Linked DNA regions of Callithrix jacchus. Each later gene encodes a partner of the first gene's protein in a complex. Links are inferred from orthologs where the notes say so. Each region holds a gene or a part of one and is shown in the gene's direction. Other genes may lie near its edges. The genes, in order: RAF1 and RAP1A.

Region 1 (3,815 bases):
GATCACTCTGCAGACTGATAAGAAAATAAGGCTTCTCTTCCCTGTATTCACAAGGGCAAAATAGTCCTTTGGAGTTATAGGGAGTTTCCCATATGCTGTGTAGGTAATTATATTAAGGAGTGTATTAGTTACTGTTGGATAGGGAGAAAAATGGCTTGACTAGTCTTCTGGTAGATGATGGAGAGGCTTGAATAGTGCTATACATGTTATTCTTTCTTTACCTGAGAATATTCTTCCTTTGGAAAACGGGCCAGATTAACTGGATAAGACATGAGAATGGAATTGGGCGTTAATTTTTATATGTATATATTTTTTGTCTTATTTATACTGTAGGCACAGAAGGTGTGGTTTCAGAGTAGATTTTAAGACACTTAAGTCTGTCATTATCTTGCAGACCCTACAACTACAGATCAGAGTCTTTTATTAATAGAAAAGTACATTTCATTTGTGGTTCCTTTCTGTTTATCTAGATTGAAATAGACTATTGAAGACTAAATTTTGTACTGCAGCAATATTTATAATCCATTTGACAGGATTTGGGGATTTTTGTAAGATTTTAATGTTACAAATTTCAATTTAATATATATTGACTTTATCGTGAGATTGTTATATATCATTGTTTAAATAAAACTTTATCATGGCCAGATATGGTGGTTCACACCTGTAATCCCAGCACTTTGGGAGGCTGATGCAGGAGAACCACTTGAGGCCAAGAATTCAAGACCAGCCTGGGCAACACAGCAAGGCTCTATCTCTACCAAAAAAAAATGTTTTAAATAAATAAAGAGAAAACTTCATTCTAAGAACATGGGCTTTGGAGTTCAACAGATGTGGTCCAACATAGGCCTTTATACTTGCTGTGTGGCCTTCAGCAAGTTACCTTCTTAGAGTCCCAGTTTTCCTATTTTTTCAGATAGGAATGATAATACTTATTTTATAGGTTTGTTCAATGAATTAAATAGATTATTGTTTTATGGCTATATAAAGCTATATAGAGTTGTTTATAGCATGTGATAAATGGTAGCTGTTATTTGTATTGAACTCCTACCTTGTTTAAACATTTCCCTTTCATGTTTTTTTTTTTTTAATCCTTTTTAGTAAAAAAGCACGCTTAGATTGGAATACTGATGCTGCCTCTTTGATTGGAGAAGAACTTCAAGTAGATTTCCTGGATCATGTTCCCCTCACAACACACAACTTTGTAAGTTGCACATCTCTCTTTCTAGCATGTTGAGGGCTTTGCCAGGCCTAACAGAAATTTCTCAGGTAATAGGCATATGTGTGTGTGTGTGTGTGTGTGTGTGTGTATTTGGATTGTTTGAGGCTCTTTATGCCATTGTTTACAGTAAGGCAATTTAGATTTCATTGCCTTAGTCAGAGATACACTTTAATTTATGATTATGAATTCTGTAAATGTTGGAAGTATGATTGATTTTTGTAAAAACTCTTTTGGAGGCCAAGGAAGAAAATGACTTTGTCTTTTGTCATCTTTTATTCAGCATAATTTACACCTGTGTTCTTGTAGGCTCGGAAGACGTTCCTGAAGCTTGCCTTCTGTGACATCTGTCAGAAATTCCTGCTCAATGGATTTCGATGTCAGACTTGTGGCTACAAATTTCATGAGCACTGTAGCACCAAAGTACCTACTATGTGTGTGGACTGGAGTAATATCAGACAACTCTTGTAAGGCATTGTTCATTTTCTCAAGGAATATAGGGATAAGGAGTATAAATACTTTAAAGGATATTCATTGTAGATTTTGACTGACAGGTCTGGATTCTAGATTCATTTACAGAATTGTGATCCAGAAACTATCTACTTTAGAAACAGATACTTCTGAAACTAGCTAGGTTTGGTGGCATTAATACTCCAAAATGAGCAGGTAGGAATAGGACTTGTTGTCTGTTAAATTGAGATTGCCATATTGTGACTGTGATTCAGTAAGGAAAAGAACAAAAGGATATGAAAATGAGAAGATTTTTTGGTTTTCTCTCTTAATAGTATCATCTGCTGGGTTGCTAGTAGACACTGCTCTGTATTTTGTTGCTTATGCTGAACAAGCCTTTAACATTGAGAAGGAGCAGAAAGCGCAGTTGATGCTATTTTCTTAACTCCAAACTGGAGAAAACTTAGTTGTTTGGACTTAAAATTGTTTGAACATAAAATCTTGAAAGATTCTTGTTTCTGTCAGGACACAATATATTTCATATAGACAAAATATTATTTTATTAAAAAATTTAAAGTACATGGTCCAAACTGCCTTTTAAAAACTGTCACCAGGAATATGAAAAGTTTAAAGTTTTGTCCTTTTCGACAGTACTAGAGAAACCAAGAGAGTGTTATTAGACCATAATGGAAACATCTTTTTTGCTTTCGTGGTTACTCACATATTGATTTTGTAATGAGAGCTTGAGTAGCACAAATGGCAGGCACAACCTTTTTTTATTTGTCTTATTTTTGTCCTTCAAAAAAAAAAACAGGGTCTCACCCTCTTGCCCAGGCTGGAGGGCAGTGGCATGATCATAGCTCACTATAGCCTCAACCTCTTGGGTTCAAGTAATCCTCACCTCAGTCTCCTTAGTAGCTGAGACTACAGGTGTATTTCACCATGCCTAGCTAACTTTTGTATTTTTTGTAGAGACGGGGTTTCATCGTGTTGCCTGGGTTGGTCTCCAACTCCTGAGCTCAAGCAATCTGTCCACCTTAGCCTTCCAAAGTGTTGCAGGTACAGGCATGAGCCACTGCACCCAGCAGCACAAGCTTTTGAGTCCAACAGACATGTACCAAAATCTCAGTGTTCTCATTAACCATAATCACATCTGAGTTTTCATTCACGTGTCTGAATAAAGGGGATATTACCTTCCTTGCATTGTTTTTGTGAGGCTTGCTGACATAACCTGTGAAATTTACTAAGCACAAGTGCCCAGCTCATGGAAAGAAGGTGCCTAATTACTCACTTTTCTATGATTTATTCCTCCTGTTTTACTGTTTTTATCTATGTATTTCCAAGTTGAAATGTTTCTGGAAAAGCACTATGTGACATAGTTTGTAAAATGCTGTGTAGTCTGAAAAAACATTATTTTGATCCTGCTAGACATAGGACCAATATTTCCTAAAAATGCACAGTCCTAGAAATGCACACTGGGGTGGGCATGGTGGCTAACGCCTGTAATCCCAGCACTTAGGGAGGCTGAGGTGGGTGGATCAGCTGAGGTCAGGAGTTCAAGACCAGCTTGGCCAACATAGTGAAACCCTGTCTCTACTAAAAATACAAAAATTAGCTGGATGTGGTGGTGTACACCTGTAATCCCAGGTACTTGGGAGGCTGAAGCAGGAGAACCTGGGAGGCAGAGGTTGCAGTGAGCCGAGTATGCACCACTACACTCCAACCTGGGCAACGGAGCAAGACTCCGTCTCAAAAAAAAAAAAGAAATGCACGCTGGAGACTGTATGTTTATTGGCAGGTCAGTATTATTCACATTTAATAATCATTCAAACCCAGTTATTTGGAATGTTGTTCCTTTTACTGTAGGTAACGTAAAACAGTTGAGGAAAATGTGACTGGGCAAAGTTCAGTTTGAATAGCTGTGAGTTTGCAAAAGCAAGGCATGCTGATTATCTCTGTAAGATTACTACAGCTCTAAAAACCAGTCTTTCCCTGCTTTCATTTAGATTGTTTCCAAATTCCACTGTTGGTGATAGTGGAGTCCCAGCACTACCTTCTTTGACTATGCGTCGTATGCGAGAGTCTGTTACCCGGATGCCTGTTAGGTAATTTTTTACCCATAGCTTTTCTCTTAGAAAGTTATTGGTGG
Region 2 (4,296 bases), on another chromosome or scaffold:
CCTTTTTTTTTTTTTTTTTTTTTTGAGACGGAGTTTCGCTCTTTGTTACCCAGGCTGGAGTGCAATGGCGCGATCTCGGCTCACCGCAACCTCTGCCTCCTGAGTTCAGGCAATTCTCCTACCTCAGCCTCCTGAGTAGCTGGGATTACAGGCACGCGCCACAGTGCCCAGCTAATTTTTTGTATTTTTAGTAGAGACGGGGTTTCACGATGTTGACCAGGATGGTCTCGATCTCTTGACCTCGTGATCCACCCGCCTCGGCCTCCCAAAGTGCTGGGATTACAGGCTTGAGCCACCGCGCCCGGCCGAACGGGTACCTTAAATATAACATGTGCAAAAAAGTCTCTTGATTTCCCCATCCCCAAATCTGCGCCTCCTTTTCATTAAATGGCACCACCATTAAATCAGTCATCTGGCGGGAACATAAGAATCAACTCTGATTTCCTTTTGTTCTTTCACACAGTATGCCCCAAATCCAAATCCATTCTAATTATAATGTATCTAAATACAATAAAATAGCCTTCTCATCCTGTCCATGGCTGCCAGGCTACTTAATCCAAGCTACCGTACTGGTAACCCAAGGACATCTGTGCTTTCCCCATTGTGTATTTTACACACATCAGCAAGACTAACTTTTAAAAATGTGAATCAGATGCGGTCATTCCTCAGCTCACCCTCCTACTATGGTTTCCAGTTCCTGTTATAAGGCCCACAGGTTTCACTGGATCTGGCCACTGGCCCACCTCTCTGAGCCTAGCTGGTACTGCTCTCGGGCTGGCTGACGCTGCACAGCCACGCCGGCCTTTCACTGTTTCTGCACATGGCAGGCATATCCCTACCTCTGGGTTTATGGCTGATTTTCTCTTAGCCTGGAAAAGGCTATTCGTCCTCCCCGCCCCCGTGTCTGCAAGACTTACTCCTTCATACCGTGTGTATGGGCTCAAAGGTCTTGGAGACGCAGTATCTGACCAGGTGTAAAGTCACCCTATCTCCCGTTTATTTTCCTCCACACCAGTTATCACTACCTGCAGTTTTTGTCACTTGTTTGTTGTCTGTATCCCCTCTCCCACTCCACTAGCAAGCATGCTGCAGGAGGGTCTTTGCCTGTCTATGGCTTGATCCCTTTGCGCTTAGTTAGAACACCGCCTGGCACCTAACAGGTGCTCAGTTCTTGTCGAATGCTTGCGTTCCCTCCAAATTTTCTTCTTGAATCTTTGGACCCTTCCTCATTTTTTTTCCGGTCTTACCCACCTCCCATTCCGCCTGTGTGCAAAGCTAAAATTCCCCGCCCCTTCCCGGTAGTTCCAGGACTTCCCCGCTCCCCGCTTAAAGTGCGCGGCTCCTTTAAGCGGACTCCGGAACGCCGCGGGGAAGGCGGGGCCGAAGCCCATTCGCGGCTCACTTGGAGGGGCGGGACAGAATTAGGGGGCGGGGATGCGTGCTGCGTGCGTGCGCGTTCTGGAGGAGGCGCCGCCGCCGCTCCCGAGGCCGCTGCTGCCGTCGCCGCGCAGAGCCGGAGCAGGAGCCACGGGCGAGAGGAGGGAGGAGGAGGAGGAGGAGGAGGAGGAGGAGGTGGAGGAGGTGCCGGACCAGGGGGGTGAGTGAGGGGCGGGGAGCCCTAGACTGTCCCAGAGGGAGCGGGGGGCGCGGGTCGGCGGAGCCGATGGTGAGGCGGCTCATGTCGCCGGTCAGTCGCCTGGCTCCCCCTTCCTCCTCCGCGTTCCATCGGTGTCCGGGGCGGCGGCCCGGGGGCCTGGCCGGCGGGAGGGGCCGGAGATCAGGGAGGCCCGGCCACCGCCAGGGCCAGAGCCAACCACGCCCGCGGACCGACCCGGTCGACTGTAGGCCTGCGGGAGATCGTCGGGAGGGGCCCCGGCCGGCTGTGGGAGAGAAAGAGGACATTGTGTCCCCCACCCTTCAACTCCCCGAGGTGTCATAGCACAAGCCCATTTCCCTTGCCGTCTCCCCAGACTTGGTGCCCTCGCCCATCACTGCCTGAGAGACTTAGAAGGTTGGACGTCGCTGCCTTCCTCTCTTGCATGTCCCCTGTCTAGGGTCAGAGCTTCCTTTCCAACCCACCTCTCCCTTTTGGCGGGGCACACGGGGAGGGGGTTGGAGGGTTGGGTGAATTCTCTGTCCTCTGTCCTCTGCTGTAGAAGTGCGGACCGGTTGGAGCGTTGCTATGTCCGTGTTCACTTCTGTCAGGGTTCAGGGTCTCCTTTTCCTTCCTTTATTCCCCCAGTGAATAGGGCTGACATCTCTACATCCCACTCCACCTTCTAGCCCCTTTCCCGCCTTCTTTACCCCCAGGTCTTCCGTAGCTTACCATGTGTTCGCTTCTTCAATGTTACTTTTCATGAGTCTCTGCTTCTTCCCTGAATTTTGTTAGGGAAGAGGTCACAGTGTGATTCTTGTAATCTTTCAAACTAACGTTGGTAAGAGCATCTCTTGCCCCTCTTACTCAGGAAGTTAAGGACGGTGTCTTCAGCCGAATTGTGTAATTTACTGCTACGGGGAGAAGATGAGAGGAAGACATTTGTGCTTGCCAAATGGGATCTCCTCACAGGGCTGAGAACCAGAGTTTAGGGAACCTTTGACCTCTTGGAAAAAGAACTACTGTTGAGGAGTAATGCATTCTGTTTCGGGAGGGAAAATCATTTTGTTCCTTCCTTGAAGGTAGGAGGCATAGGAAGTGAAATAGAATAATAGAGCAGAAGGTGATTGGACCACAGCCCTGCAGGTAGCCACTCTTTTCTCCTTCTTAGGTGGTGGATGATGGTTTTGTTATTACAGTAAGCGTAAAGTATCAGCTCTTAGATTTAACTTGGGGCTCCTACCTTCAAAAGTGTGAAGGGCTGTCTCAGAAGAGATGCTGCTGGAAACAGGATTTGGAAACTTTCTTTGGGTTTCCTGTCAGAATGTGTGGGGGTGGACATGCCTATGTGTAGTTTTCTTTACTTGTGATGTAATTTATTTCTGTGATACTTTGACATAATAAGCATTAAATTAGGCCCCAGACTTTCTGTCTTTATTATTAGTTCCTGTAACATTTTTGTTTTGAAATTATATAGTTTGATATTCTTTTGTATATATTTCAGGGACTCTTGTCTAGTTTCCTGGGTGTTTAAATTATGGTCTACTTCAGATACGATCAGCTGTAAGGTACTGCGGATCATACATGTTCAGTATTTGTTGAATGAATTGAATGATTACCAAGATGAGTCTAGGTGTTAAATCTTCCGTCCTTTTGAGAGGTACCCTATATTAGGATATTGCATTCCACTTCCAGTTTGTAAAATAGTAATTCTTAACCTTTTCTAGGCCACTGACACCTTTGAGAATATGTTGAAATATATAAACTCTCTCCTCAGAAAAAAGTTAATAGGCATTTATTCACAAAATTTTGCATTAGTGTTAGGGACCCTCTGAGGCCAACCATGACCATCTGTCTTAAAAGTGAACTGGATGGAATCCCTGAGTGTTGCCCAATTCATATTAAAACAGCTCAAAAGTCTTTGTTCACTTTTTGTATGGCCTCAGGAAGGACAGTATCTATACTTAATATACCCCAGAAGTTAAGTATATTCGTATACATTGATCCTGTACTGTAGTCCTTCTGGGAATAAATCCCCAAGGAAAGATTCCAAGAGAAAGAAAATGTTGTATATGCACATGTTCGTTTAATTACTTTAATAGATGGGAAGAAAAGGAAACTATATGTCCAACAGCATGAAGATACACAATTTTGCAATCACTGAAAAAGGTTAGAATTGAAGATTATTAATCTCCTAATTGATCTTCCGGCTTCCACTCTTGCCCCTCCACCCCAAGTTGATTTCCACACAGCAGCTACAATGATGCTCACAAATTTAAGTCAGAGCAAGTCTCTCTTGTTTTCACAACTGTCCAGTGTTTTCCCATCTCATTCACAGTAAAAATCCGAAGTTCTTACCATGGCATGCAAGACTTACAGCAGCCCAGCTATTTCTTTCTTTCTTTTCTTTTTTGAGACGGAGTTTCGCTGTTGTTACCCAGACTGGAGTGCAATGGCGCGATCTCGGCTCACCGCAACCTCCTCCACCTGGGTTCAGGCAATTCTCCTGCCTCAGCCTCCCAAGTAGCTGGGACTACAGGCGTGCACCATCATGCCCAGCTAATTTTTGTATTTTTAGTAGAGACAGGGTTTCACCTTGTTGACCAGGATGGTCTCGATCTCTTGACCTGGTGATCCACCCGCCTCAGCCTCCCAAAGTGCTGGGATTATAGGCGGGGGCCACCACGCCGGGCCCAGCCCAC

Evidence for each region.
Region 2: the proteins of RAF1 (region 1) and RAP1A are in contact, whole or in part, in a crystal structure (PDB 3KUC), measured with the Homo sapiens proteins. The link is inferred for Callithrix jacchus from reciprocal best matches to the Homo sapiens genes RAF1 and RAP1A. Residues at the interface, in NP_001341619.1 of Homo sapiens: Thr57, Arg59, Asn64, Lys65, Gln66, Arg67, Thr68, Val69, Val70, Lys84, Lys87, Val88, Arg89, Gly90; in NP_001010935.1 of Homo sapiens: Val21, Gln25, Ile27, Val29, Asp33, Pro34, Ile36, Glu37, Asp38, Ser39, Tyr40, Arg41.

Annotation. Positions count from the first base shown.
Region 1 is NC_133516.1:69,764,028-69,767,842, reverse strand, and holds part of RAF1 (RAF proto-oncogene serine/threonine-protein kinase), read left to right. Parts: intron 1-1,098; coding exon 1,099-1,201; intron 1,202-1,525; coding exon 1,526-1,683; intron 1,684-3,672; coding exon 3,673-3,771; intron 3,772-3,815. UniProt on the Homo sapiens protein: Serine/threonine-protein kinase that acts as a regulatory link between the membrane-associated Ras GTPases and the MAPK/ERK cascade, and this critical regulatory link functions as a switch determining cell fate decisions including proliferation, differentiation, apoptosis, survival and oncogenic transformation.
Region 2 is NC_133508.1:149,582,497-149,586,792, forward strand, and holds the start of RAP1A (ras-related protein Rap-1A), read left to right. Parts: upstream 1-1,455; 5' UTR 1,456-1,597; exon of another isoform or gene 1,598-2,011; intron 2,012-4,296. UniProt on the Homo sapiens protein: Counteracts the mitogenic function of Ras, at least partly because it can interact with Ras GAPs and RAF in a competitive manner. Together with ITGB1BP1, regulates KRIT1 localization to microtubules and membranes.